Caenorhabditis elegans: one gene and its partners. The protein of the gene in region 3 interacts with the protein of the main gene of each other region in a pairwise test. Each region holds a gene or a part of one and is shown on either strand. Other genes may lie near its edges.

Region 1 (6,606 bases), on a different chromosome or scaffold from region 3:
TGCAGTCAAGTCCATGTTGGTCACATCGAAGATGTCCTGCAAAAAAAGGGATTTTACGTAGGAAGTGTGTATACTTTCAAGTATTTCGTAGCCGGACATCTTGAAACTCCATGACAATTAGTCTCATATGTCATCATTTGCACTTTGTGAATTACCTTCAATGAATGAGAATCATACGCTCTCAAGTAGCACTTGTATGCCTCCTTCGCTGATTTGTTCAGGTAGTAGTTTTTGCTGATGAGATTCTCGAGTTGGGATTGAATGTTTGCAACCTGAAAATTGAGAAGTTCAAGTGTTATTTTCAAATTTTGCAAATTCACTTCCGGAAATAAATTTTTTATTGATCATTCATCTTTGAATTCTGCTTTTTAATGATTTCATTCACTTCCTGTATACCTAAAGTTTTAATCTTTGGATCTTATTTCACTTGCACTTGGGTGTGTGACCTTCTTATCAAAGGATCATTTACCGGTTTTTTATTAAAAAAAAACTTTTGATTCAAAGAACACGTCGCCTATTGAAAGTGCATACCTTGCTCCATGAGAATTCGAATTCGTTCAACGTGACTTTAGCGGCCTTCAAATAACGCAAGAATCCAAGTTCTTCAGGTCTCAAAACGAGAAGAGCCTTTCCACTTCCATTTGTTCCACGTGCTGTACGTCCGACACGATGAATATATTCTCTTGGCTCATCAGTTGGATCATATTGTACAATCCAATCAACTGCTGGAATGTCGAGTCCACGAGCTGCCACGTCTGTACACAAAAGGATGCCTGTTTCAGCTTGACAGAATTGGAAGAATGTCGTTGTTCTTTTCTGTTGCTTTTGTTTTCCCTGCAAAAATTAATTATATTACTAGTTGAGGGAAATTTAAGATATTTCTCTATTAGACGTCTTCAAATCTCCATTAAACTTTTTATAGCGGTTCAAAATTTCTGTTTAAAAAAATCATTTTAAGCAAAAATCTCAATTTCTCCACAGCACCTGTTTTTATTCAATTATCACCCTTTATTGCCAACTTTGATAGTATATTACTCGTTTTTCGTTCATTTCCGGTCTTTGTTTGCCCCCATCGACTAAAAATTACTCCAATGAACGAAACAACGTGCAATAAATTACCAAATTATGCACTAAACTGTGACAATTAAATAAAAAACATTTCCGCGAGTTGTGACTTTGTCAAGTTGTCGGAATTTCAGATTTTAGCTAAAATAGGCTTTATTTTTGAAATTTCGAACCGCCATTAACAATTTTAAGGATATGTGAAGCCGTCTCAAAAGATTCATTTTGCGATCTTTGATAAAAGTGTTCATAAAATAATCGTTTAAAATCCTTACATGAATAGACATGCACGGAATGTCAATGTAGTTGAGAAGCTCATGATGGAATTTGACTGAATTGCACGATGAGAAGAATACCATCACTTTTTTCGTCTTGTTCTTCTTCAAGAATGTGAACAAAAGAAGTAGACGCTTATCAGATGGAGCAACAATATAACCCTGCTGTAATCCTTCAACTGTTGCCTCTTCGGCCTTTTCGTGTACAGAAACGCGAACTGGATTCGAGTGAAGAGCCAATTTCACGAGCTCATCAACTTTTGGAGAGTGAGTTGCCGAGAAGAGCATTGACTGCCGTTGTTTTGGAAGATGACGGAGAACTTGTTGCATTTCTATCTCGAATCCGATATCCAAAATTCTATCAGCTTCATCAATAATCAAACACTTCATGTTGCGGACTAAAAAGTTGTCAGTATTCTGAAGATGATCCAAAAGTCGTCCAGGAGTGGCCACCAAAATCGAAACTCCCTTCGCAAGCTTATCCTTCTCTGCACTTCTATTCGAACCACCCATCACTAATCCATACGTCAAATTGGATCCTTCAAGAAGTTCGGACAAAACTCCATAAGTTTGCATCGACAATTCACGAGTTGGAGACACAATGATGACACCAGTTCCATTGTGTTGTTTCCAGTTGAGTTTGTGAAGAAGTTCGATAGCAGGGAGCAGGAAGGCAAGCGTCTTTCCAGAACCAGTTTTTGCTGATGCCAATACGTCTTTTCCCTGAGAAATTGAAACTTATTAAAAAAAGAAAAAAGTTATAAAGTCTACCTCCAACAACGGATCAATACTCTTTGCCTGAATTTCTGTCATTGTAGTGAATCCCAATCCTTGTACGGCTTTCAGCAAATTCGCGTTAACTTTTCCTTCAAGCGATGCAAATGTAGTCTTCGTCAAGAACTCAGACACTTTGGTTTCACTTGACTCCTCCGTTTGATGCTTTTGCTCCTCTTCCACTTCCTCCTCATCTTCTTCCTCCATTGGTTCTTCAACTACAACCTCCTTAGCCTTTTTCTTCTCATGTCCATCCTTCATCTGTTTCAGCTTTCGCTTGAGCACCTTCTTCTTGACGTCAATGCCCATTTTTTACCTGCAAAATTAACAAATTTTATGAGCAACCAGAAGGGAAAAGACACGATAATCGGAAGCAAATCACAAAGGAATTAAGCGAGAAAAGGTGAAAAAGAAGTTGTAAAATAAAAATCAAATGTCAACAATGACATAGATATCGCATCTCTCCGGCTTCTCGTTGATTTGCATGTTTGAATAAGTTGGAGACTTGATATCAGCCTCTGTTTCATGCTTTGAAGTATCAAATGATTCTCCCCATCCTCGGAATTCGATCTGAATAGAATTTAGATTAATTTTCAGAAACTTTTTATCAAATACCTCAAACTTTTTCTTATCAAATCGCAATATTTCAACCCGTTTCGCGACAAAGCATGGTTCAGCGTGGAATGAGTTGAGCGCTTCGTCTAGAAACTGAAATAGGAGACCATCTAAGCTATCGCCAGAAGCTTTCCAGTAGAATTCGTACATCTGAAATAATGCAAAATTAAAATTTTATTTTAATCAGTTTCTTGTAGAAATTGTGGGTTTTGTTCGAAAATGAAGTCAAGAAGGCAAAAATTGAGCTTTTTTCTGGGAGCAGCTTCAAAACTAGAGAATACACGAACAAAAGCTAAAATTTCTACAAGATATCGATTTAAATTGCAATTTCATATGTTCATAAGCATATTTCAAGTGAAGTAAGAAAAATTAGACAAAACAGAGGAAAGTGGAAAAATTCTTAAAAGGCGCAAGAGGCGATCTAATTCAATTTCAAATTACCTCATCAACCTTGGCCAAATCCGTCATATAGCCGAACATTGATACGAGGCATGCTTCGAAGGCTTCTTCCATTGTGGATCCCCAAGAGTGAAGTTGAATATCTGCCGGATGATCGAGATATTCGAATCGCCGACGTTCGATCTCAGAACGATCTTCGATCATTGATGTGCTCGGCATTATTTCACTGAAAATAAATTAAACTGAACTTAACCAAATAAATTTGAGGAAAAATTGATTAAAATATCAGAACGGTTGAAACCAAAAAATAATCGATTTTGATTAACTTAAAAAAAACAATTTTATGTATTTATGATGCGGTTTTTGTGAAAATTGATATCTACGAGCCACGAAAAGGAATGAGAATCGAAGTATTTGTTCCTTTAATCTAGCGGTAGGTGTGTGGGAAGTGGCAAATTAAATGCGAACTCGAGAGGTGAAGGAGGAGGTTGAGGATTGATGAGAAATGGAATCTATTTACAAGAGAAGAACTACAAGAGGGAAAGAGGCTTGGCCGGCAAGACTAATACTATATCGCCTTGAATATTAGTCTATTCTAAGCGTTCTACATGAATAATCTGCACTCTATTTCTCTTGTGGTTCCGCCTCGTCTTCACTGAAATCGGGGAAAATTTCGATGGACGTGTCGGCTTGTTTCGATAGGCAACGAATTGTGAGAAGAACAAAACGTTTGAGTCCTTTGTTGTAGAAAATGAAGGCAAGTGCCCAAATGCAACCGTCTTCGGTAAACGGATCGTCTTCGAATTGGGACTTGAAGCTGAAAAATATGGAAATTATATAAAATATCCTCTCAAATCAAACGGAATACCTGTATATTTGACAGTCACCGGGCACAATTGCCTCATCAATAATTCCCCATAGCTCTTCTCTTCTCACGTGATAGTCTCTGACAATTGTCTCAAGCTTCATATCAACGAGACGGCTCAGGTCCTGAAAAATCATGCGCGTTAATGTTATTTAGCTGTAAGAAGCTACTAACCGAATAATTGACGAGAGCAAACGCTTCACTGTTGGCATTACTGAAATCGTGATCCGGAAACGAACAGTTCAGAACTTGAGTCAGATCATACAATTTCTTTCGCGAAATTGAGTCTTTTATCAGGTAGTCATTCACGTCGAAATCGTTGTCTGATCCTCCTGAGCACGAGCGTTCCGATAAATGGCGAAGCCGATGATTGTGACCAACACTGGGCGATGCACTCATCACCATTTCCTCGTAAGATCCTAGAGGCTGGCGTTCACCCCATATCACAGATTTATCGTTCGATTTCCATTGTTTCTTTTCGCTAGTAACCATTTTCGACGAATACGTTTCTAATCTGAAATTGAACGATTTGTTTTATTCTTAATATTGAGATAAATGACTCACTTGAAATCAATAACACAATCGATTGCTCCCGTAACGAGTGTCTGCGAAAAAACATCCATTTCGGAGCTTTCCAGAAACTTCATGGCTTCTAAAGCTTTTCAATAAATTTCGAGAACATTTGGAGAATTCAAGTGCGGAAAAATCCTACGTAATGAAGATTGCAATATTTAAAATCGCGCATTTTGAAAACAATAATTTAATTTTTAAATTTTACACTAAAATAACAATTTTAATTACTTTTTCAGAACGATTTATCGTGAAGAAAGGAAAAACTGCTGTAAAAAAATCCCATTGATTTAGCAAACTGTCGGCAACTTCTGTGTAATGTGTGCAATATTGTTGTTGGTGTTTGCGTACTTGTCTACCGTATACCTTGGGGGTAAAATGAAATTTGTTAAATTTCGCTTCGAAAGTCGTTTTGCAATTAAAAACTATAGTCAAAACTAGATTTTCAAATAATTGATGTCACAGGGGTCTAGAGAACGAAATAACACGACCATTTATGACAGAATCAGGAATATTTAGATTAAAAAATTAACAAGTTTCAAATCAAATTTTCAAAAGGCAATGAGATTCACAAGTTTTATATTCAATACAAGAATTTAGTGGAATTAATTAGTCCATTTTGGTTCATAAGGTGTTACTGAAATTGATGATATTTGCTATAACTTAATGGGAAACATGAGAAAAAACCTGTTTGAAAATTAGTTTTGCACCCTCTATTAGTTTTGCATCAAATTAGGTGTCCGAAAATTAGTTTTGCACGTCTTACTAATAGAGGATATACGGTATACGGAAAACAATTTAAAAAAATATTTTTATTTGAACGACCACGTACATCTTGATAAGGACTGGTATATGAGCAAGTAGTTTTAGTCATAGTGTTCAGTCTTCAACTTTTCAACAAATGGTCTGCCAAGAAGGATGGGAAGATGATGCCAATTCAACAATTCCGATGCTGTGAACGAAGATATGAGTATGCAAGGAACCTCCGAGTGGACCTCGGACGATGGAGCCGATTTACCTACAGTCGTGTGTGAATTGGAAACCAGTTCACTTCAACCAAACGGAATATTAAAGTGAGTGCGGGTCAGAGGTGTAAATCTGATGTTTTAAAATGTTATAAAACATAAAGTTTACAGCTTTTTGAGTATTGAGAGTATGAACCTTTTTTTTCAGATACTCATACTGGCATATGTCACAAAAACCCCCCGGACAAACTACTCAAGACGAAACGTTCAAAGGATAAATAGAGGAGACAGAGGAAAAAGAAGACAACTCCAAAGTGGGAGCTATTTTGTAAGTTTGTTGTTAAACTCATAAGCTTGTAGATGGCTTGCCTCAATACATTTACAAATAATGTCATATTGGTGTTTATTTCAGGAAGTACAACTGAATCGATTGGAAATTAACGTCAGGATGTGGATTGGAACAAGTAGCTGGAAGTGACTGGAAACCCTACTGTGTCGACGGCGGAGGAGACATGGTGCATGGATGGACAACTGAAACAATTTGACAGCCAGGCTACGTGAAGCTCAATGCTCCGCTCTGATCGACAGTATCTGCCTCCTACCTGCGTTGTTTAAGTAAAGCTGCAGAGATTGAATTAAAGTAATCCATCTGAAAAGAGCATCTCTATTTCTCAATCATTTCGTGTTTTTGAATTTGAAACTGTGCTGTTAGATTTTGAGAGCTTGAAATGGACGTAGTATTGTTTCATGTAGAGAGAAAAGAATTTCGAAAATTGATACAGTGAGCGACGTTCAAAATCGTGGGACACATTTTTTTTCAGCAAAAGCTGGTTCCAAAAAATGTGCAAACTCACTTTTTTTTAAATTTAAAATAGTTTATTCGAAGAAAAAAATTAAATTAAAATTGGCAATCAACAAGGGGCTTTTTTGAGAATCATATTCAAATTCAGGAAGAAAATGTTACAAATATAGAAATTTAATTTTTCGAATTACGCTTTCTTTTTGATGATCTCTTAAGTTTGCATGCTTTGGCGCATGGCATTACATTCTTGGAAGTTGATGGTTCATCCAGGTTATTGAA
Region 2 (7,582 bases), on a different chromosome or scaffold from region 3:
TTTTTCAACTAGCTCTCTTCAACACACTGATACGGTGCCAGTCGGCGCCCCAAATTGGGAAAGTGCATTTCAGAACGCGGAGCTGATAACTGATAACTGTTCACACACACACAAAGCGGAGTCTCAACTTTTTGTCTAAAAAATAAATAAAGTACGAGACGCAGACGATTATTTTTTTGCATTACGTTTTTTTTGTTGAATTTCATTTCAATTTTCATGCTCACCTTTTCAAGCTCCAACAGATGGAATCGAAGCATCTGAATCGATTGGAGCATAATTTGATCTAGTTGTGGATTCGGTACATAGTACTGCTTGTCAGCATTCTCTTGGGTCTGTAAAACTTTCTTTTTTTTCATTTTATTATTTCCCCGAAACTTACATGTCTTACAAATTCGTTGAGATCATCTTTGAAAGACGCGCTGGAGCACACGTCCGATGACGTGGATCCGTCGCGTGACGTGTCTCGGGGCGTTGACGTGGCGAGCTCGCATTTTTCGAATAGGAGAACTAGAAGTGGATAGAGTGGATGGCTGAAAATTTGAAAATTGTTAAAAATCAATTTTTTTTAGCGATTTGAAAGTATTTTGAAAATGTAATAATTTTAACGAAATTTAGAAGCAGAAAATTTTGAAATTTTTTAATTTTTTTTACGTCAAAATTTTTTAGCTTCAGCTTCTCAGGCACGTCTCCAAACATGAGGACCTATGTTTTGCCTGCCTACCGCCTACTTTTGAATTTTTTTCACAAATTTTTGATGACTTGTTGAATGTTTAATTTTGAAAAAAAAACAGGCACAAGGCAGGCCTTGTAGGCAGACTTTATAAAATTAAAATTCAAAAAAAACTCACGCATAAATAGACTCCTTATCCCGTTTCATGGCTTCACCCATCTCATGGTGCATCATCGGAGTTGACGTCGGCGCGCCACCCATATTCGTGTACAAATTGTAAAACGCCGCCGGATCGGCAATATAACTGGCTGGGTCGGCGCTCGCCGAGCCCGGTGGTGGACCATATCCATCGTTGAACTGCTGAAAAAATATGGATAAGATTAGATAATTTTATTAAAAGGCGCCTAAATATGTGAGGGATTTATGGGTAAAATCTTATCTCTTCTTCTGACATGGCTAGCAAAAATTTTGCAAAAAAAAAATCAATAATTTTAGTTTTCCTCCAAAATCTTTTTTTTTTCGAAATTTCGGTACAAAGGGGCGCCGTTCCAGATTTCGGCAAGATGATAGGCGGATTTTTTGACGAAATAAATCTTCTCGGCCCCCCGATTCGGGTAAAAGAAGATGTGAACGGGGATAACGGTGGAAGGATAAAGTGAGAAATTGAAACCACGCTTTCCTATTTTTTTTTCTTTTTTCTTTTTTCTGTGTCTTGTCTCTCAAATTGATTAATTGATAAATTGTATTGATAACTAAAGAGGCCAATTTTTTGACACTTTTTGGAACCATTGGTGGTGGTGGTCATAGGCATTTTTTCTAAGCAGTAGCCCAAGCTCATCAAAATCATTTTAATGGGTTTTATTAGTCAGCGGGGAAGACGGGGAAAAGGGGTGGAATTTGGGACATTTTCTTATCTTTTTTCAAATGATTCCCGAGAAAAAGTGATACTGTCGGTAAGATCGTAAAACTATTTGTGATTCTTGTGTTGGCTTCGGAAACTAAAACTAAAACTAATCGATGCAAGGAAAAATTTAAGAATGAGGGGCTTAATATAAGTACTTATATTTTGAAATATTCACTGGTGTTATTTTAACGATTTGCAAAAGTCGATAGTATTCCACCTCACTACCTCACTTTGAAAAGTTATATCACGGTTCAATTAGAAGATATAAATAAATAGTCAACTACAAAATTATAGAAAAAGAAATAATACGGATTTTGCCAGTTGACAATTTTTATATAGGATGAACGAAAACTGAGATATAAGCTGTCAAAGTTGGACGATGGGGTGCAACTGTTAGTCTTGCAGACCGTAGCTTCAATTTGGCAGCTCATTGTAATTTTCAGTTAAAACAAAAAGTTCTAAGCTGACAAAATATTTGTTTTTTCTAGAACTATAGTTTTAAAGTATTATATTCACTGATTTTCTAGAGATGAGCAGAGATACGACTTTTCGAGGTATTTGGGGTCAAGTTTTTCTATATTCTGAAGCTTGGGAAACTATATTGTAACTAACCAGCGCTTAAAACAAGGCGAACACCTAAAAATTGCAATTTTGAGATCTAGAAAGCGGGAAAAAAGCGACAGCGACGGCGCGGTGGGGGGCGCAATGGCTGATTGGAAACCCAAGAATGAGCTCGAGCCACCACCCAACACAACGATAAATTATAGAGGAGAAAAGGAAAAAGGGATGGCGCTCTTTCTGGTATCATGTCAAAGTCAGAAGAAGCAGAGGGGAAACGGAATGAAGGAGAAGAAGAAGAAGAAGTACCCTCTGCGCCATCGTCGTTGCCGACACACGGGGCCTTGCTGAATAAGATGAACGATGGTCGTGTCGGGATCGAAAACTCTTTCCACAACGGGGTGTCAGTCAGTCAGTCTGTCACACACACGATGATGGTCAGAGCTTGTCGCCCGCCCCTTCTTCTTCTTCTCTCGTTGATCGATTGATTAGTGTGCCGATTTGATGGGCCGGCGGTGGCGGCGTGTGTTCTTCTCTGCCCTGCGTGTGATGTCGATGATGATGGAACGAACGTAAATAATATGACAGACAGATGAATATCGAAAATGACAACTTCTCACACACTTCAAAACGGTTGTATGTCAATCTTGTCCGATCGTTGGGGGGAGGGTTGGTGGGGTGAATGTGGGCGGGGCTCCCTCTCTCTGACTCTCCCTGGTGGGGGAAAAATACGAGAAACCACCGAAAGAGAGAGAAACGGGCAACCGGGGGGCAGATCGACTCGCTTGCCTTCTCCTCTCTCTCTCAGTCTATTTTCCCCTGTTAGCCCCCCTCGAGAGAAGGAGTGAGTGAGAGAGAGAGCGATGCGCCGGGGCCCCGCCCTATTGCGCCAATAGGCACTCAATTCGGTACAGTAGACCCCGGGTGTGAGAGGAGGGTGAGAAGGCAAATTTGGAGAGGAGTAGAAGAAGTCAAACACGAAGAAAACGACGACGACGACGACGACGAAAAAATACATGCATTGCATTTTCCTCTTTTTTTTGTTTTAGCGAGACGAGGCAAAAAGTCAAGTGTGGGGGACCTCAGGTTTTCCAGCTAACACAAATTTACATTTTCTACCAAGTAGTACCCGATTCTTGGCAGCCAAATTCCATGTCGCCTATCAATTTTCCAATTTTCCACCCTCGATAAGAAACACATGATTAATGTGATTAAAAGAGATAAATCGGTCGGTGGGGGGGGGGGGGGGGGGGGGGGGAGCGATGATGAGACGAAGAAGAATGAGGAGAGAAAAGATAAAAGCGGCGGACAATTTGTGTGAAAATTATCAGGATTTTGTTATTGCTTTTATGCTGTTGATATTGATAATCGGATCATCGGCTGTTAAATTGCATATTATATCGTGGATGTGTGGAACTAGCTCTATGAACTTTAACTGGTAGGTTGTAAACCCAAAAAATATGTTCTTAGATTTTTATGGTAGTTGTTGAAGGTGGAGTAGCGCCAATGGGGAAATTGTTAAAAACCACTCCTATGGTCCCAAAATGACCGAATATCGTAATAAAACATCATCAAACAAACACATCAAACAAAAACATCAAAACAATCAAAAATTTTCTTAAATTTTTTTATTTGCGGTCAAAAAGTGACAATTACTCAGTTTTTGTTACTCATAATTTTGGAAGTCGACCAAAAAAAGTTTTTTCCTACATTTTTTACACTTTAAGCTTATTTTAATTATTCGTGTTGAAACATTGTAGGGGGCGAAACATGCGACATTGCTTTGGATTTCCTCGAAAGCTCATATTTTTCAAAAATTTGGCAATTTGGCAAAAGTTTGAACGGAAATTATGAAAAAGCTAAAATTTTGTGGGGTGTTTTATTATAATATTCGGTCGTTTTGGATCATTATAAGTGTATTTAGACAAAATTCCCACTGGCGCTATTCCACCTTTAATATACTTTTTTCATAATAAATTCTGAATTTTTAGTGGATTTCCGAATTTGAAATTTGTTTTCCTATGTCAAATGAAAAAAAATCTGTTGAATTTAGCTCCTGTGGCGAGACCAACTCAGAAAAAAAAACAATGTGTGCCTTTAATGTGATGTTTCAAATTTTTGCGAAATATTACAATATTTTTTCCCGGTTTCTTGAAATTTATATTTCAATGAAAAACCAATTTCGAAACTCTAAAATTTTTACAATTTTGATTTTATAGATTTTATCAATTTTCTGAAAGCATTTTATCGTAACAGAACTGAAAAATTACAGTTCATTTTGAACATTTTTTTCATTTTTTTTTCCGAAATTCCAAAAGTTTTGAAGTTTCAGACAATACAAAACCCTTCAAAGCTCGATTTATAAAATTATTTTTAATTCTAAAAATTGATTTTTGAATTTCTTAAACTACAATGTGAAGATCCTAAAGAATTTTTTAATCGGCAAAAATTTTTTCAATTTTCAGAAATCAATTTAATTAGGAAATTTAGTCGCAAATTAAAACAACAACCAATTCTTAAATTTTACCTCATTGTGATCCCGCTTCTCTCGTTTGATGCTCGACGTGTCCAAATCGTACGTCGAAATTCCATTTTGAACAGCCCAAGTGTCAGCGGACGCGTGAGCCCACACTTTTGAGTCGCCGCTCATGTTCCTGCAAGAGAGAAATATTAAATTTTGAAAAAGAAAACGTGAAACTCATTATCATTTATCAAAAGAGTCTGTGCGTGAGCAACAGCAGATGGGTCCTCGTGGCCCGAAAGCACAAAAAGCACACCAAAAAAAAAGGGATGGATTCGAAAAAAAAAATAATAAATAGGCTCCGCAAGAGATGAACCAGGAGGGCAAATTCAAGTTTACATGCTGCTGTCCTGTGTCCAATGTCCTCCGCATTGAAGATAAATTGCTTTTGTTCGTTTTTGCCCCCACTAGGTGCACAAAGCTGTTCTCATTATATTTTTGAAATTCGAACAAAAAAAATGTAAGTGCTAAGGAAAAATAAAGTGGAAAGAATGAAGATTGGAACTAGTTTCTTTTTATTTGATAAGGTTTATGTAATGTACGGTATGAGACTGAAAAAAAAGTTTCATTATACCGCCAGTTTCACCGGAAGTTTTTTGTCATGTGAATGAGCATGAGCTGAGGAAATGTGACTAGTTTGGAAATTAAAAAAAAATCTAAAAGTGAGTTCGGTTTCTGAAAGAAATTTGCTCCACCGAAAATGTGAGAAACTATTTTGACGGCCTATATCTCTGTTGCTTTTGATTGGATCAAAAAATGTTTAACTGGTAAAATATAGAAAAACATTTTGCGCATATTTTGTCAGTTAAAATTTTTCTGATAAAATCAAAGAGAGCTGAGATAGAAGCTGTTAAAGTGGAGCAAGACGGGTGCAAGCCTACTAAGGAAATTGCGGACAATGTCCTAATTTTTCAAATTCATTATCAGGAATCAAAAAAGCTCTACCAAACCTAGTCAGCTATTTCCAAGTTTCCACAAAAAATTAATTAATTAAACAAGATCCTTCTGAAACTACACTTTCCAGATTGTCAACTAAATGTGCACCTATGAATGTAATAAAATATCGCAACCTTTCGCCTCTTCCAGAGAGCACAGTCATTTTTTGACACATTTTCCTTATCAATAATCAGAGAGTAGAGACATAGAGATGCTAACATTAAAATACAAAAGTTTCAACATTTTTTCCCTTCAATGCACCACATCCCCCGTTTCCCTCATCTACTTATACTCCAGCTGCACTTTATTAACGTCGCCTTTTGTTCTAAGGGGATTAAGATTAGGATCATATGGAAGAGGAGGGGTAGGAGGTGTCAAGTGGGATAAAGTTTCAGACTGTTTTTCTTTGTTTGGTAACATGGTAGACACGGGAAGAAGATTAACCTATAGATTTCAGATTTCCTGGAAGGTAGCGTGTGGTGCTTTTGTTGCTTGAATTGACAGAATTGAGTTGTTTCAAAAATTCTAGAGTAATAGGCTCAGCTCAAAAGATTAATCAAAGGCCTAAATTAAAGGCCAAAATTATGAGGCTAACAAATTTTTAAACCAATTTTTTACAAGCTTTCCATTTTCAATATAGCTACTGTTTCTATGCAAAAGAGCTACTGCTCTATCCGCCTTGCCTCTTTTTGCTCCACTTTGACGGCTTATAACTCGATCCCATTAGGGCTTGTAAAAAAAATTTTCAACTGACAAAATTTGTGCAAATATTTTTCTACATTTTTACAGTAAAACATTTTTTAATAAGACTAAGGACAACTTAGATATAAGTCTCTAAAATAGAGTGAATAAAAAAAAGCTAATTTAGAGGCTAACAAAATTTGATTCATTTGTACATAGTTTTGCCATTTTGTTTCCCAATCTGATCTACTTTTTCTTCTCCATAGTCATACTCAAAAACCTAGGCAGATCTTTGCTCAACGAGGCTGACGTATAAACTGATAAGCTTACGGTGTGCTCTTTGCTACGTGCGCCGAACATTATTCGAAAAAAAAAGTTATCAGTGGTTTTTTCTTCCACGCATCGTATCGCAATCGATGCTCTTGCTCCCCTGCTCTTCGCTTCTATTTCGATTCTCTCGCCTGGCTCCCCAAATACCGTACCAGGGGATGTGTATGCCTACTACAGTAACCCGTGTGTCCACCACCATCACAACCACCGACCAGCCGGCCCGGTGTTGGTGGGGGGGGGGGGGGGGACACGAAACAAAATTTGAAAAACGGGCGGCCCGCGCGCACGCTCTTTTTCCCTCTCCTTTTAAATCGATACGTTTCGTCGTCGGTGGTGGTGGTGGTGGTGGTAGTGAGGGACGGAGGCAAAAAAAGGAAGGAGAATTGCGTGGACTTGCACCGGACAAGTCATACAAATGATTGATGGGGTCTATAGAAACCCGTCGAAAAAATTGGAGGAGGAGTGGGCACCGGGGCAAAAATGCTAACGAAACACAACAAAAAAAAAGATTTCGATTGAATCGTTGTTGGTGTGCCCCCCAGCCAGGTGCACCGCCCCCTATTTTACCTCATTATGTCAAGTTGTAAACGAGACGCCGCTTAATTGGTTTATGAGATGTATCTGTCAATTTTAAGAGGAGGCCGGCCCATTTTATGTGTGTATGATTTTTAGGTCAAGCCGGCTGGAGCAAAAAGTGACTAGACTGGCCTCTAAGCCTTAGGGGGGATCGGGGAACCGACAGAGAGCAGTGATTCGGAATGAAGCCGACCAATACAAAAACTATTTAAGAAACAATTATGTTAAGCTTAAAGATTTTAAGGCAAATTACGGCGAGTAATGGTGATCGCTAGCAATCAAAAGATCACGGGTTCGAGTCCTGCCCTAGGCTCACTGGGAAGTGGAGCTATCTAGATTATCGGCCACAGTCCTGGGATCCGACGGCTTAAACTAAAGCCCAGTAGGGGTACCTGACTCCCCGATC
Region 3 (7,030 bases):
ATGATAAAATGCCCATTATACATATTTGACTTTAATAAATCACTCAGATGGCTCCTCTGCCTCTTCAACACCTTCTTGTGCGGTTGCTTTTCGATTCCACCAGTTTGAGAATTTTGCTTTGACTCGACTACCGGTTTCTCCTGAAAACACGATCGAGTTAATCACTTTAGTATTAAAAATATTTTTTTCGTTTTGGCAAAATGTCAGTTTTGTAAATTTTGAACATTTTGAATAATTCAAAGCAATGAAAGCTATGCCCTCAATTTTTTACTGCTACTTCATTTCTCGAAATTTTTTAGATGCTATATTAATTTCCAAACCCGAAAAAAATTACCAATGGTATTTCCTAAATTCTTTCCGGCAGTATTTACAGTTCCAATAACTTTTGAAGCTCCTTCAACTCCATTTACGGCATGTTCAAAACGAAGATACACGTCATAGACTCCCATTTGTTCCGAGAACATGTGCCTGAAATATTCAGATTGAAAAATGTATTCATGTTCTGAAATTCCTCACCCTGGCGCAACAGATGTTAAATCTTCATGTTTGTTTGCAACCCAAATTTTGTGATTTTTAGTTCTCCGCCATTCGTTTACAAAAGCGATTCCAAAATGAGGTATCGCTGCTTGTAGATCGGAACGTGACGTGGCAACGAGGCCAAGAAGATAGTTTTTCATTTGTAAACGAATCCATTCATCTGATCCATCGAATTCAGCATTTGAGGATTTAACCTGTTCTTCGACTTTTTTGAGAATAAAATCAGCGAATCGAAGATCTGCAGTAGTTAGAGAAACTACTCGTTCCAATGCTGTGTCGTTGACAAATTCAATGTGATTATGGACAAGAGAACCGTCGTCTTCGATCTGAAATTACTCAAGTTTAGTTAGAAACCTGAAAATTGTTAATTTAAAATACAAACCTTCACAATAACATCAAATAAATCCTTTTTCATCGCAAATAAGGCATTCGTAGCTCCAAATATACAACTCTGAGTCTTCGGGACTAAATCCATTGATTGAATTGATAGATATGGATCAAATGATGATCCTTGTGTGAATAAGCTTATAGGAAATCCACACGAATCCTTTTCTTTCAATGGATCATCATGTGAAAGCTGAACACCAACCTCCTCTTCTATCACTATTTCTTCGCTTTTTCCTTCAGTTTTTGAATTTACATTTTTGAAATGACAACTCGTATTGACCCCGATTGTTGCGTAGAACAGACCTTCTTCCAAAAGCTCTGAAATTCAAAATTAAACGATTTTAAAATGTCTGTATATTCTTACTTGGAAACATTGAAACAATAGCCAGCATAGTTTCTCCTAATCGTAATCCAGTTGGTGCAATGAATAAAACTTTCCGCTCTAATAGGAATAATTTAAAAAGCAGTAGAGCTCGGTGACGGAATCGTATAAAAAGCTCTTGAATTGATATTTCTGAAACTGATATCGCTAATTAAAATGTGAACATTTGAAACTATTTTCATGTTTTATTTTAGTAAATTGATTCAATAACGTACCATGATGAGCTAGATTTGAAAAGTATTCTCCAGTAAGATTTTCGTCGAATATATCGCAAAGATTCGTATACATTTGAGCAAGAACATCAACTTTCGAAAAATCTTTTTGTTCAAAATATGCCTGAGTTATTACTTCCAATTTTGCTTTTAATGGACCAAAAAGTGGTATTCTTGAAAGAACGCATACAGCTTTTTGAACACTGGTCCTAGTCACATCTTCCGATTTATTTATTAATTCCTGCAAAGTCAAACAGTTTTTATCTGAAGAGTCATATAAAATCTCACTTTTGCATCGATTTGTCTGTAACACGAGATGCCAAATATCGATTTTCCAGGTTCTTCTCTAGATGGAAGCAAAAAGAATATTGTATCTTTTTGACAATTATGTACACCATCCGGCAACGCCAGTGATGGAAGAAGATGCCATTCATCGGGTAATCCCGATTCGCCCGTGCCATCGAGTTTCGGGTGCGAGTATTCTACCTACAAGATTTATTTTATTGATTTTTTACAAATTGAGTTGATGAACTTGAATTTAAATCTTCACTCCATATAATACAAAACTTAATAATTAAATGTATATGAAAAATACTGCAAAAATAGTAAAAAGTACCAAAAACGTTCTGCTTTTTGTGAAATGTTCGATTGACTGTAACATTTATTTCAAATTAACTGCAAAATATACGCGATTTTGTAGTTTATATTGCCATTTTATTACTTTCCTGCACATTTATGACCTTAATCGTTACGTTTTCGAGTTTATTCTTTTATGTATCATATTTTCCTGATTTTTCTGATAGTTTGCCATTTTTGTTACCTCACATCCTCGCTTGTGATGGAAACTAACGACGACCACATTCAGAATTGGATGCATCTTTCTCTGAACTGTAAGCTCTAATGTTTTCCCGAATTTTACCATCTTCAGATAAATTCTTATGGTTGCTATACCGGAAAACGGAATATACTCGTAAAAAAAGATTAATGTAGCAAAATTTATGGATTTTAATTGTTTTCAAAATGAAAAATTGAGATTTGCACGCTGATAATGTTTTCCGATAGGGATGGAAACGATTTTAGCGTTAACCAGTCATTAAAGTAGGTTTCCAACTCGCACCTCATGTACACCACAAAAATGAATAATTCAGGAAAAAATGGGCGATCAACGAGAAATTTACAGAAGAATTAAAGATATTAAAGGCATTTCGTAGTGGAACAAGTGAGGAGATTTTCAGGTTTCAATGAAAGGAAAGAACAAGGGACTTTTCAAAAGTCAACAGGAAAGGTACAGAATTGGATACTCACGAGATCCAGATTATCATAAATGAGCACGTTATTACGGCTCGTTATTGAGATTTGTTTCAGGTTTGATTCGCTGTGAGAATGAGAAAAGGCGGTTGAAAGAGACGAAGTAATGAGAGGATTGGGCACGAGTGCCGTGGAAAATATGAGAAAATGAAGGGAATTACAGTAGTATACTCGTGAAGGTAAATGAACATTTGAAATGGATTGAGCAGATCGAAGAGATGTTGTGGAGCAACATATTATGTGTTCACAAGCCATGGATTCTTGGCAATCGTCTCTGCTGAACGATCTCCATAATCGTAGAGAAGCTCTTCTCCTTGTGCGATTTGACGCCTGGCGACGAGAATCAGGTGATGCGACCCATCGATTTCCACCACCTGGAATGTTTAGTTTTGGAATTGTTATTTACATTTTTTTAATTTATCAAAGACTTTCTTAATAAATTTCAAATTTTGAAATGCTCACTTTCGTTTTGAGATTCGGCCTTAACACGGAATGATTGATGAGTCGTCCTTTCCATGGAGATTCTTTTGTCGCATCGATACACCATTTTTTATTGTTGTGCTCAAAAAAGTACATGTAGGATCCGATTTCCTCATCATTCGAATATTGTTCTTCTATCACTTTTGCTTCCGAGTACTCCATCATAACACCTAGAATACTTTTTAAAAACAATATTACAACAATTATCTGTGTTATCTACATACCTCTGTATTCGACAACAAAGTCTCCTTTTTCAAAGTTAACTTTCGTTCGAATTCCTCGCCCCTTCACAACATCTTTGTACACTTCAAGAAGTCGTTCATTAGTCCCCTTGAGTACGGTATCGCGAAGAGCATGTTTAGCTTCATCGCTAATTTGCTTGCTCGTCTTCCGATTACTTCGCCGCACTTGGAAGAATTCTGTGATTTTATGGTTTGAGACATCTTTCACCGACACTCCTTTTCTGAAAGAAAAACTATTTGGAAATTGAAGTTTTCAGCTTGGACAATTTCTGTGAATATGTTGTGAATTCAATTAGAAATATTGAAGTTTTTAAACGTTCTATTACAATCCCTCTTGTCACTAATCAATCATACCTGCTCCTTGTGTTTTTCGACGGTGTCATTCTTCCTGAAGATGAAGAGTGTGAAGCCAAAGACGATGGATTTTCGGAGTTCTCAATATCACTAGATGGTGACGCTGCTGCGGCACGATCCTTTCGCATTCTACTCGTTGCCAGCTTCTTCGCGGCAACTTTCATCCTTCGAGTGACACCGCTGAAAAAATAATAAATTTTGTAGGGTGAGGAGAATAGTAAAAATAGAGAAATTTATAAAGAAGCAAAAGAGGTGTCATAGAAATAATAGAAATATTCGCCCACAATTTATTTTTTTTGTTTTGAAATGGTTGGGTAAAAATATTATAATGTGTTGTTTCAAAAACCCAGATATTCAATATGATTTCATCGGTCCTGAATACTGTAATTGAAAATGGAAAAGCCATCTTGGATGTACCTGAAAAAGTAGTTGGGAAGAGGGTAACAGAGGAAATTGAAGCGGGCAGAGAGATGCGTAAAGCAGATTGAATGGGTTTTCGGAGGAATATTTTTTTTAGAAAGTGAAGGTTTCTATTGTGAAAAGGGTGGGCTTTCACCGATTCCGTTGAATTTCCAAATATCAAAAGACCGAGTAGAACATCATCATTAAGATATTTATCCACATTTCGTGAATAACCTCATTAGAAATCAAATTCAGTGGTTTTTGACGAGAGCTGAGCACAAAGAACAATGTCGTGCACACGCGACTAAATTCAAATGGTGTGCAGTCATATGGTTTTGGCGGGAAGTGCCGTGGAGCGTTATTGCACTCACGGTAGATGTCGGTGGTTGGTGTAAAAAATGGTGGATTGAAATTATGGAATTGAACTTTAAAATGTATATTTCCGTAATAATAGATACACTTATTGGGCTCGTAAAATTAAACAGAAAAGATACTCAAAGATTAAAATTTAGATAAATTTTGACGCCATGCGCATGACTAATGTTTCTATTTATATTTTAAATATTATACCAACTGGAATTTTAAATTTAGATGTCCTATTGATCTATTAATTTTGACTGAATTGAAAAAAAACAACTATGAGAAACAGAGCAACAAATCGATGGCAACATCGTGCACAAGAGTGTCATCGCATAAAAAATGCAGTTTGTCATTCTTCAATGCGACTACATGAGAGCCCGACGAAGAAGATATGCTGAAAAAAAGAACATCGAATCGGTGTCGAGAATCTGAATGACATAAGAAGATGCAGCCGCTGGTTTATTGATGCTGGCAGCTAATCGATTATGAATGGGTAATTAGAAAACGATCGGTATATTCTATTCCATTCCCTTCCTATTTATGCTGCGGTCGATAAAACGCTAAATCGATAAAAAGTTTAGTCGTTGTAAGATTGAGCAGCAAACAAAGAATGGTGCCGTCCACCCGTTCGTTTTCGACTGTTTTGTCAATTCAGCGGTCTACGTCACAACGCCACATAATTGTAGGCCAGAAAGGATGTCAGGGGAAATCGATACGAATTATCAGGAATAAGGAAGAAATATTGACCTTGAAAACCCAGAATTGTATTTTAATGGAATAAATAGTAAAAAAGAGGAAGAAATAGTGAAATCAGGGAGTGAAAAGAAAGGAGGCTGGTTATACGATCAAACAACAAACAGGAATGCACTATGGGGTGAGGGTGAGGAGAGTCGCAGAGAGAGAAACGGCTTGCGTCGAACACGCCAGTGGTCCAGCTTGCGCCTTTTCCGTTCCTTGCCCATAGTTTCTATTTCGATTTTTGCACGCTTTTTGCTTTAATGTTTTGAATGTGTATTTCTCTCTTATTGCTTTTAAGAAGCATTTAAAAGCAAAAATAATCAAATTTTAACTTTTTTCATCGTAGTGCGGAAAATTATGTTCAAAATTTGTCAATTTATTTAAAGATAATTCCTTACTCGGTCTTATTAACGCTTCAATCAAAACAATTAGAAACAGTTTTCAAAAATAAGATGAAAAAAGTCCAAAAAATTAAATAAATAAGAACCGACAAATCGATCGATTTTTTAAAATCACTGTGTTCCGTTTGAGACCCTTCGAAAATTCCATGTACCTTTAATTCAAGCAGTTCACGAAACTTTTTTTGGGTACTTAATTTACATTTTCTTTTATTAAAAGCCATTAGAATCTCGAAAGTTAATCTAATTAATCGCTTGAAAATGTCCTGAGAAAAACTCCGTTCTCTGCGTTCAAGTCTTTAATTGATTTACCGTAGTTACGCCAACTTTATGACAGTTTTGTATCATAACTAACCATTTTCCTATGATTCTAATAAAATATATTATTTTAGATGCCGCCGAAACGGAAATCAAATGGAAAAACGCCAGCGAACGGTAAAAAGGGCGCAAAGAAGGCTAGGAAAGAGTCAAGTTCAGAGCACGAACATAGTGCTTCAGAAGGTGAAGAAACTACTGGATTCGATAAGTCGTCACTTCAACGATGTGTGAATTTTGATTTCGAAGCTCTGATGAATGATCCGTCTTTCCAACATCCCGAATTTGTACATACAATGGACCCAGAAGCTTTAAATTTGGAGTTCTACGACAAAAATGGACTTGACAACCCGATACATTTCCGATGTGATCCAAAAAGAATAGGAATGACGTGAGTATTGATTTTTCCAATTAATTGTAAAAATAAATATTTTTACAGACTTCCCTCACCAGATTTCTCAGTGGATGATGTCCTCGAACTGGTAGGCGGAAATCGAATGATAGAAGTTGTTCAAGTCCAGAATCAAGGAAGTGTGAAAATGTCGTTACAGGAATTTATAAACTTCTACAAGTGAGTAATTACAAATTAGTATTAAACACCAATCAAACTTCATTTTCCAGAACGCCACAAGAAAAACGAGAAGTACTGTACAATGTTCTATCTCTAGAATTTTCCCAAACTCCCTTAGAAGATCTCGTAAAATCTCCAGAACTTGTTCGTCAAATCGACTGGGTTGGAAACCAGTGGCCAGATGCTCTGCGCCAGAGGTGGATCTCATTCAACGGAAGAGACAAAAAATTCTACAATCCGCATCATACTTTTCCAAAAGTTCAAAACTACTGCCTGATGAGCGTAGCGAACTGTTATACAGATTTTCACATTGATTTTAGTGGAACATCTGTGTGGTATCATGT
Region 4 (8,986 bases), on a different chromosome or scaffold from region 3:
GAAATGGAGTTTGTAATTACGTTCCAAGCTCACATGCCAAAAAAGATTACAATTCCAATACAAAAGCTCGGTCGAACAACATCTGTGATAAATCAGAAAAATCTAATTTGTTTATTCCAAAACTTTGTTTGAATATGGAGCCCGTTCATATTATTTGATATAGTTTAAATTTGTGTTTTTTTTATTAAATAAACAATTTGAAATGCTGAATTATTTATTTGAAACATTTGATGTTTGTAACCAAAATCAGAAAGAGACAATTAGAAAGTTCTGCGAATGCGGGAAACAGCACGTTGACGGGCGGTAAATCTGGCACGGTTCTTTGTTGGATATGTGGTATCTCCCTTTGGAGCTCCTCCAGCTGGAGCACCTTCTCCTTCAGTTGCGGAATCAGCTGGCCCTTCGCCAGAAGCATCGCTAACTGGGGCGCCCGCTCCTTCAGCAGAGACATCGGAAATCGGCGATGGAGCTGGAATATCGGCAGAGAGCTTAGCTGGATCGGATTCCTGAAAGTACTTTTATTTTATTGAAATCCAAGAATTGCAGTAAAACTCACAACTGGGGATCCTTCAAATTCAGTTCCTGGGGCTGCAGCGTATCCGCCACCTCCTCCTCCAGCGATGTCTCCTTTTCTTGATGGGCATGGGCAATAGGCAGCATCTTCTCCAGAAGCTCCGGCGGATCCTGGAAGACCTGGGAATCCATCTGGTCCCTTCTCTCCTTGTGGTCCTTGTGGTCCAGTCTCTCCCTGTGCTCCAGCTGAACCATCCTCTCCACGCTCTCCTGGAAGACCCTCGTCTCCTGCAAGACCATCCATTCCAGTCGGTCCTTTTGGTCCTGGTGCTCCTTTAGCAAATCCTTTTCCGTCAGCTCCACTGGTTCCTTTCTCTCCTGCTGGTCCCATTGGTCCTGGATGCCCATGGTCTCCTTCTGGTCCATCATCTCCTGGTGCACCATCGCGGCCTGCGTTTCCTGGAGCTCCTTTATCTCCCTTCTCACCACGTGGTCCACGTTTTCCTTTGTATCCAGCAACACCTGGTGGTCCTGCTGGGCAAGCAGTGCAAAGATCTCCAGCTTGGCTTGCAGTCTGCTCATTGCTTCCATCAGCTCCATCTTTTCCTGGAGTTCCATCGGTTCCGTCGGTTCCTGGCTCTCCGGCTGATCCTGATTCACCCTTTGGTCCTGCTGGGCAAGAGTCGTCAATTTTCACAGGGCTGGCTTCGGGTGCTGTAGCGGCAGGAGATCCCTCACCAGCAGCTCCTCCTTCCTTGTCTAAATTTTCATTTGTCAAATATTTTCAGATAACGTTAACATCTGCACTTACATGTTTGTCTTGCAACTCTGCGGTGGCTTTCATTCGTAACAAGCTCCTTCCAGAGCACATTCGAAGTCTCTTCAAAACCAGTTTTTGCAGTTTCCAGTTGAGCAGTCATGTCTCCCATAGTATAGAAAAGGACAGGAGTAGCAGTTACCATAATCAAGAAAGCACTTCCAGAAAGAATGACTGCAAATGAGACAGTCGACGAAGACGACTCCATAGTTTTGTAACTCATTGCTCGAAACAAACAATGGAGAAAAACTTGGTTGATGAATGTTGTACCCCACTACCGTCTTATATACAACATGTGTTATCTAAAACTCTGATCGGTATGTTCCGGAAGTTGTCCTACTCCTTCCCAATCTTCACTTCAAACCACTTTCATTTGTATTATCTGATCCTTGCTACCGCTTCAACAAGTTTTTGCATTTGCATATTCTGGATACCAGGCTATTCATTCCATTTTGTTTCAAACGTATCAAAATTTTATTATTCACTCCATAAATTGAATTATGACACTTCATATTAATCGAACACCTATACAATCGGCTCAAAAGAGAAGAATATATAAAAATAGACGAAATCAGGCAACGGGAAAAAAAGGTAAAACAAACAAAGACTACTACAACGACTATACAAACTCCTCAATAGGTTATACATTAGGTTATAATAATAAAAAACAACGGATTACAAATGGAAATAAGGAGCAAGATATCGCTGGTGTAGATCAATGCCAACAATGATAAACGGCATGCTTACAATTTTGGAAAAAAAAATGATTGAAAGAGCAAGTCTGTCTGTCAATGGGTAGGAAATCTTCAAAAAATACTAATCCCCGAGGTAAGAAAAGAACCAAAAAAACAAGAAGAAAAAAGTACCCCGTTTTGAAAAAGGTGAATAAGAGAAGTTGAAAGAAATGTCATCGAAGGCGTCAAAAATGGGTAAGTGCGCAAGCTGAATTACTCTATCTAAGCAACAATAATAATAATCAATTTCAAATCAACTGTGGTTCCATCATCTGCTGGCCAAAGTTTGCGCCAAACAGCATTTGAAACTCGTCATTCGTTGGTACCAAAATTTCCGGATCTGCTGGCTGAGGCTGAAAAAAAAGTGAGCTTTAGTTATTTGTTCAAATATTAACTTTTGTAAACGTACAACAATTTCTCCAGTTTCAATCAAACTGCTAACTCGCGTGTGGTAGCTCATGTGCTGATTGTAGCTGGCCTCGTCAGCAAATGGTCTATAGCATTTCTGAAAAAATATATATTGTATCGTAAATCCAACAATAATAACAAATTTTCAATCATCCCACAGACAGAAAACCACTCAAATTACAACGTTATAGAACTCACTTCGCAGAAAAATTCAAGACCCTCCCGATGATTTTCGTGTTCGAGTGTGTGATGGCTGACACAATCCATTCTGGTCATGAATTGAGACTTGCACACTGGACAATCATGGCTGAAATTAGGTAGGTTTAATGAAAATTTTAATTTAAACTGTGTAATGTGTTCTCTTCTATTATAATAGTTCTATTAGTTCTATTAGTAATGCACTGCTCGATTTTGGGAGCTTACAACTCAGTTGGTTCAAAAAAATTCAATAAGTATACAAACCCAGGCATATATTAGGAAATGAATCGCACCATGGGTGTGCGGCAAATTCGGCAAATTTGCCATGGTTGTCATACTCAGTAAATCGCAATATTTTTCGAGCTCAAAGAGGGCCAAAATTGATTTAAAAAATAAACTACGTTTACTGGTTTTTGTTCGAATTTTGCCTAATGCGCGTGTGGATTTCTTCAATAAAAAATAAAAGAAACACGATGTTATGTTTACTTTCATTAGGTTTCTGTTCAAAACCATTAGTTTTGTACAAAATTTTTATAAAAATTGTTTCATGTGTGCGGCAAATTTCAGTATTTGCCGGGCTCGGCAGATTCGGCAAGTCTACATTTTTGAAATTTACGGAATTCGATGAATTCGGCAAATTCGGCAAATTTGCCGCACACCGAGCGCTTTTCAGATATTATACTTATACTCACTTTCAGTCCTACATTCACTTTTTGATGCTTTCTATGCTTTCAACAATCTTCCAGCCATTTTAAAACAAATTATAAAGTACGCTCTCTTTTAAGATAATAATTCAATCAAAATTTGACGAAATTTCGTAGCGAAACTGTTGCAAAAAATTTGAATTGATGTCAAATCTTTCTCAAACGCACGGAGAGCAGGTATGTATATAATATGTACCGTAATTCTGAGAATTCATGTGCTCAAACGGCATTTTCCACTCCGATTTCTTTTCAGTTCAAGGATAAATAAACTCACGTCTCGAATGCAATGGACTTTGCAATCTCGAAAAGGTTGCCCCAACGCTCAAGAGACATGTTGTTGAAGATAGTGTCTTCGAGACGTCTGATCTTGTCCTCAAGCTCAACTTGTGGCAGAAGATCTCCTCTTCTCAACTTGTCCACCCAGTGCTCTGGTTCTCCGAGTCCAAGCTTCCTGAAAAAAAACATTCGGTAATCTCACATTTTAATTGTGCATGCTGGATGTCTGCTTACTTCTTCTTCGGACGAGGCGGCGGCGTGTAGTACGGTCCTCCGGCTCCACGAAGTACGATGGCGTCGTCAGGGATGTCAGCAGGCGGCCGACGGTTGCTGAACCGAGATTTTGCCAATACTGGCGTTCCGTTTTTGTTAAGATCAAACCTGGCAAACGGCCTCCAGGCAGCTTCCAGCTCTTCCTTCGTCGTGACGTGTGTGCGAAGATGCTTCTTGAGGTTGCCTTTCAGTCTGAAAAAATTTAAAAAATTTGTTTGTTATTTCTCGTATCGCCTAAATAATTTTTGTTGATTATATTTTTGTGTTTTCTACCCGCAACATTTAGATTACTGTCACGAGTGCCGTTTTGAAATGAGTACGGCATGCATCTTATCTACGCCTTTTTCACCATTCTAACACTATTTCTCTTCGTTTTATCGATTGTTCTACAGTGTCGCCTATGGCATTACGGTGTCTCTCGTCCGTCTCTTTTTCTCTACCGTTTCTCGGCCCGTACACTGTACACACCGTACTGCGCATTAGCAGAGGAGAGTCGACTGTGAGAGAATGAGAATTAAGGGGAAACGGTCGTTTTCGCAACCCGCCACATTTTTATTACTGTACATTTGAAAGAGCACAGCGAATGTTGTTTAAAAAAACCACTAACCGACAAGTTTTTCCACAATATGGACAGGCGTGAGGAGTGAAGCCGGTATGGACTGAACGATGCTCAAACAAGTTCGACTTAAACCTAAATGATTTTGAACAAATATCACATCGGAAAGGCTTCTGATCTGTGTGTATCACTGCATGCTGCTGGAGACCTGAAAACAAAATCAGAGTTAGACAAAGCTACCGTATTTTTCAAAAAATTACCTTTATAGGAAACAAATATTTTGTTGCAAACATTACACTGGTGCACAGCTCGAGGGGTCATCATTCCTTCCACCATCTCATCTTCTTCAGGAAACCCCATTTGATACTGAAATTGATTATGATGCCCCTGAAATGGTTTCAGAATTTTTTTGAGTACCTGAGAATAATCCTGCTCATCCATCATCATTTCGGAGTCATCCATGTGTTGATTGTGGTGATAAACTGACTGATTCGACCCGTGAGTCATACTGGAACTGTTGAATTCAGAGAGGGACTGATCCGCAGAATTCCGTTGACTCTGAAAGTAGAGAACGTCTAAAAAAGTAGGGAATTTATAAAAGATTCGATAAATTGAAATTTGAAAGGAGTTTATAAAAGGAAAGGTTAAAGTACAGAAGCGAAATAAAAATGAAAACATGGGTTTCAAGAGATTTCAAAAAATTTTAGAAATTTTTTTTGAAATGATATCTAGTTACCTGCTTAGCATTTCTTCTGGTTAGCATGACAAAATTTGCCTCAGACAGCTTAAAAACAGCTCGAGACTGCTAGATATTGCGAAAGAAGCGTCGAATTCAAACTATTCACCTTGCCGCCAAGTGCAGAAAGGGTTATGGTATGAGAACGATACGGTAAGAAATGCGACCACTCGGAGGGGACGCGACGCGGCCGCAGCGCAACGAGAAAACGAGACGCAGGCGCGCAACAAACAACAAGGATAGTGAGCGAGAGGACAGAGGTCACCACCGTCGCTTGCTGTTCGTGGTTTTTACATCGTTTCTGATAACTCAGCAAGTGTAGAATTTAGAAAATAATGAGTTTTTTGTGTATTGCGAGTGTTTAGAAAATTAGATATAAAAAATTAAACTGTATTTTTATATTATTTCGTAATAATCGTCATTTTTTACAATTTTTTTTTCAAAATTATAAAGTGCAAATTAAAACATTTTCATTGCAATTTTTCGGAATTTTTAAAATTGTCTTTTTTTTCTAAATAAAATACAATTTTATGAAAAAAATTATTTTAGTTTTAGTCATGGTTTGGTCGAAAACACAAAACAGGTGCAAAAATAAGCAGATGCGTTTTCATAATCTCAGGTGGCCGAGAATTGAGAAATTGGTTGCTAATTTTTGGGCTATGGCAAGTCTTAAAAATAATTTGCATCAGAAATGTTTTATTGAAAGTAAAATTAAGATTTAATTATAAATAGAAGTTAGTGCTTGGAATAGTAAAAGTCAATCAAATTATACATGATCAATAATATTTTTCCTAACATAAAAGACATGTATAATATTGTCACAGCTGCTTTTGGAACTGAACAAAACCCAGCAAAAGACTTCAACGATTTTGGCAAATTGAAAAAAGTTAAATGAAAAAATAAAACCTTGAAATTTGAAATTGGAAATTTGAATGAAAATCGATCAGGACTCAGAAAATCGCATCTATTCGCTATGAACACTATTCGATATTCGTGCAACGCCGTAAGCCCCAGACGAAGAGCAGATGTGCATCTTGCCTGCTGCTCGCACGCATCCACGCTGGCTCACCGTGTAACTCCAAGTATATTGGGAGTTGTTGTTGTTGTTGTTGTTGTGGAGGCAGACGTGGTTGTTGTGGTGTCCATTTGGAATCGGAGCAGCAAACGGCGTGTGTTGTTCATGGAAATTGGACTGGTGCTGCGGATGGTGTAAATTCATCATTCTGAATTATAAAATTAAATGTTTTCGGGTTAATGAAATTGAAAAATAAATAAAATAAGTGTATATTAATTTCGAAAAAAAAGTGTGAAAACGGTTAATAGTAGTTTAATACAAAATTAAAAAGTTAGAGATCTCTTGAATTTTAAAGCTTTAGATTAAATTTAATAAGATTTATATATTTATTGATAATTTATTGACTACAAAGCAAGTTTGTTAACAAACACAACAAAACAAATAAAGATTGACATTTTGTGAAACCTATCAGCATTTATACTATTTATAAAAATACCAATAAGTAGTGTTATATAAATTAATTTACCAAAAATAACAAATTTTTTCCAAATGTTTTTTTAAACCTGAGGAGAAATTTGTGTCTTGTTCAGTTTATGTTCATAAGTTTCACAATTCTAATTGAAAAATCTTGAGAAGGGGAGTTTTGGTGAACTAAAATAAAACAAAACGTTTTTTTTTCAAAAATAATATATTAAGCCAGAAACTCGAAAAATTAGTCTTTACAATTAGTATCAAAATTTTAAGGATACCTAAAGTTTATAGTAAGATTCCTTCAAAGTGAAGTGTTCTAACAAGAGTGTGAAAACTTGTTCGACGTCTCAGAAAAGAAGTACAATCGCCAAGTTGTTCTGGGAAATTAGATTAAGAGAAACGAGCACAAGTTGAGAAACTCCCTCTACTCAGATACTCGGCGAAGAAAAAAAAACGTGAAAGATACTTTTACCATGAAGGGTGCCATCTTGACGAACATCTGCTGAACAGCCAGCTAGTTTCCGTTCTGAGCCCTCTAACATTTGTAGGGCAATACTTTTATTTGAAAAAAAGCAGCTCACACTTGCTTCATTCGACAGATTTTTGAAGTTTTGAGAACTTAACCGCTTCGTTATATTGGATCGAGACAAATGGGGAAAACGAAAAGGATTAAGACATCCTGGCTCTAGCTTCCTAAAAGTGCATGTTATTTTCAGTTACCTGGTGCGTGTGGAACGATGAGACTAAATCTCTCAACCTAGGGAAGTCGGTTCGATAAACATAGTTAGGGATGAGTAACGGTTTGGACGCCTTTTAACGTATAAATTGAATATGTGCTTAAATGATCGAATTTTGTAATTAAATTTTTTTTTAATCTACAAAATTTTATATGACGGTTCAAAATTTCGAAAAAAATTATCCAACTTTTTTTTTACTTTTCCGTGCCGCAGTGATTCAAAGTAGATTTGTTTTAATTATTGTCATTTTTTTTGCAAATTTTGGTAATTTACCTTATGTTGTTTTGTTGATTAAGGTATTTTTGGAAATTTTGAACCGCCATAAAAAACTTTTGAAACAATTTTGAGTCGTTTCATTAAAAAATTCGTTTATTTAAGCACATTTTGGGTCTATATGTTCAAAATCGTCCAAACCGGTACTTCTCCATTAAATTTTTATAGCCTTTAATATCAATTTTTTAAAGCAATGTTCAGAAAAAAACTGTTACTAATCTATGCACACTTTTTTACAATTTTCATATTAAAATATTTCAAATATATTATTCAGATTTCCAAGGCTTACATAATTTTTTTTATTCATTTTAGTTTGCTTTGAAAGCCAGAATACATTTCATTGTTTGAAATATTATTTCCAAGGTATAAATTTCCTCAGAAAAATTATAGTTTCTAAATTTTCACAGTTCTGCAGTTTTTCATAATACATATTTATTTTTTTAGCAAAGAATTATAAATACAAGTACTTAAATTACGCAAAAAAATTATTTTGGAAAATATAAGCAATAAAGAAGAAAACAAGTCTTTTACAAGTTACATTATGAAAACTATACATGTCGTAATATAAAGTCATGCGATTTTTCAGAAATTACCAGTAAATTATTCAACAACCAGATTGCTAGAAACTAAGAAAAAAGAACCCCCTGAAGAAGTCGGATTCAACTTTTTAGGCGGCTCTAGAAACTCATCCATAAAATGAGTGTCACTAATGGATATGGGAGTAATGTTTGATGATTTCTTTGGAGGTGGCTCTTTCTTTTCCACTTTATGTACTTTGTCATCTGGCGGTGTCTCTGGTTTCAAATCAGAAGTTGAGTGTGCATCCTCTTCACTGAAACTTTTAGTCTTGATTTTGAGTTTAAATTATTACAGTAAGATACTTAGAAATCAGGCTTTGAGTGTCCGAAGGAGTATGTATTGCTGGTGTTTCAAGTCTATTATTCTCTCTTTCATCTGCAAAAAATACATTGGGTTCTTTTTCTTTTATGACCTTTCACCCACCAATTTTCTCCAGATTTCGGTTTCGCTTCCTTAATTGGTTTTCAAATTCTCCAGGCCAAACGACTTTCGGTTTTTTTGTTGGCTCGGCGTCTACCACATCTAAAATTGAAATATATAAGTTGTAGGGCAAGAGGGTTTGTACTTTGTGACTGGAAAAATTGAACTACATTTTTTTTAAAATCAGCATTCAGTTTCATTAGGTTTATCTTACATAGATAAAGAGCAATTTTAAGCTTCAAATGATTTTTTTCGTGTTTTCTGGCTAAAACCATT

Evidence for each region.
Region 1: the proteins of set-1 (region 3) and mafr-1 interact in a two-hybrid assay, tested with the Caenorhabditis elegans proteins (one large-scale study listed by BioGRID).
Region 2: the proteins of set-1 (region 3) and unc-62 interact in a two-hybrid assay, tested with the Caenorhabditis elegans proteins (one large-scale study listed by BioGRID).
Region 4: the proteins of set-1 (region 3) and lsy-2 interact in a two-hybrid assay, tested with the Caenorhabditis elegans proteins (one large-scale study listed by BioGRID).

The regions. Positions count from the first base shown.
Region 1 is NC_003279.8:10,621,209-10,627,814, reverse strand, and holds mafr-1 (Repressor of RNA polymerase III transcription MAF1), read right to left. Parts: upstream 4,643-6,606; 5' UTR 4,638-4,642; coding exon 4,555-4,637; intron 4,505-4,554; coding exon 4,165-4,504; intron 4,116-4,164; coding exon 3,994-4,115; intron 3,943-3,993; coding exon 3,750-3,942; 3' UTR 3,454-3,749; downstream 1-3,453. Other genes in the region: B0511.6 (ATP-dependent RNA helicase), read right to left, coding at 1-36, 156-272, 532-834, 1,338-2,060, 2,109-2,420; arch-1 (Protein archease-like), read right to left, coding at 2,541-2,681, 2,727-2,876, 3,168-3,344; Laminin subunit alpha lam-3, read right to left, coding at 6,502-6,606.
Region 2 is NC_003283.11:4,494,667-4,502,248, reverse strand, and holds the start of unc-62 (Homeobox protein unc-62), read right to left. Parts: upstream 4,787-7,582; 5' UTR 4,783-4,786; coding exon 4,660-4,782; intron 2,920-4,659; exon of another isoform or gene 2,454-2,919; coding exon of another isoform or gene 2,442-2,453; intron 1,031-2,441; coding exon 849-1,030; intron 531-848; coding exon 380-530; intron 333-379; coding exon 225-332; intron 1-224. UniProt on the Caenorhabditis elegans protein: Acts redundantly with ceh-20 and ceh-40 to perform overlapping roles during embryogenesis.
Region 3 is NC_003281.10:6,448,291-6,455,320, forward strand, and holds set-1 (Histone-lysine N-methyltransferase set-1), read right to left. Parts: upstream 4,083-7,030; 5' UTR 4,067-4,082; coding exon 3,903-4,066; intron 3,770-3,902; coding exon 3,531-3,769; intron 3,485-3,530; exon of another isoform or gene 3,477-3,484; coding exon 3,289-3,476; intron 3,278-3,288; exon of another isoform or gene 3,201-3,277; coding exon 3,063-3,200; 3' UTR 2,502-3,062; downstream 1-2,501. Other genes in the region: T26A5.6 (UDENN domain-containing protein), read right to left, coding at 40-140, 335-468, 517-863, 920-1,242, 1,289-1,444, 1,522-1,759, 1,807-2,004, 2,339-2,395; jhdm-1 (JmjC domain-containing histone demethylation protein 1), read left to right, coding at 6,193-6,506, 6,555-6,686, 6,737-7,030. UniProt on the Caenorhabditis elegans protein: Histone methyltransferase that specifically monomethylates 'Lys-20' of histone H4 (H4K20me1). H4K20me1 is enriched on hermaphrodite X chromosomes and during mitosis. Involved in dosage compensation by repression of X-linked gene expression in hermaphrodites.
Region 4 is NC_003284.9:2,086,056-2,095,041, reverse strand, and holds lsy-2 (Zinc finger protein lsy-2), read right to left. Parts: upstream 5,339-8,986; 5' UTR 5,243-5,338; coding exon 5,216-5,242; intron 5,038-5,215; coding exon 4,897-5,037; intron 4,846-4,896; coding exon 4,740-4,845; intron 4,688-4,739; coding exon 4,531-4,687; intron 4,116-4,530; coding exon 4,032-4,115; intron 3,981-4,031; coding exon 3,885-3,980; intron 3,826-3,884; coding exon 3,649-3,825; intron 2,780-3,648; coding exon 2,671-2,779; intron 2,570-2,670; coding exon 2,474-2,569; intron 2,418-2,473; coding exon 2,313-2,417; 3' UTR 1,789-2,312; downstream 1-1,788. Other genes in the region: col-164 (Nematode cuticle collagen N-terminal domain-containing protein), read right to left, coding at 261-506, 557-1,272, 1,325-1,553; F49H12.2 (uncharacterized protein), read right to left, coding at 8,312-8,543, 8,593-8,665, 8,714-8,812. UniProt on the Caenorhabditis elegans protein: Involved in transcriptional regulation. Required to specify left-right asymmetry of the ASE gustatory neurons, probably acting upstream of microRNA lsy-6.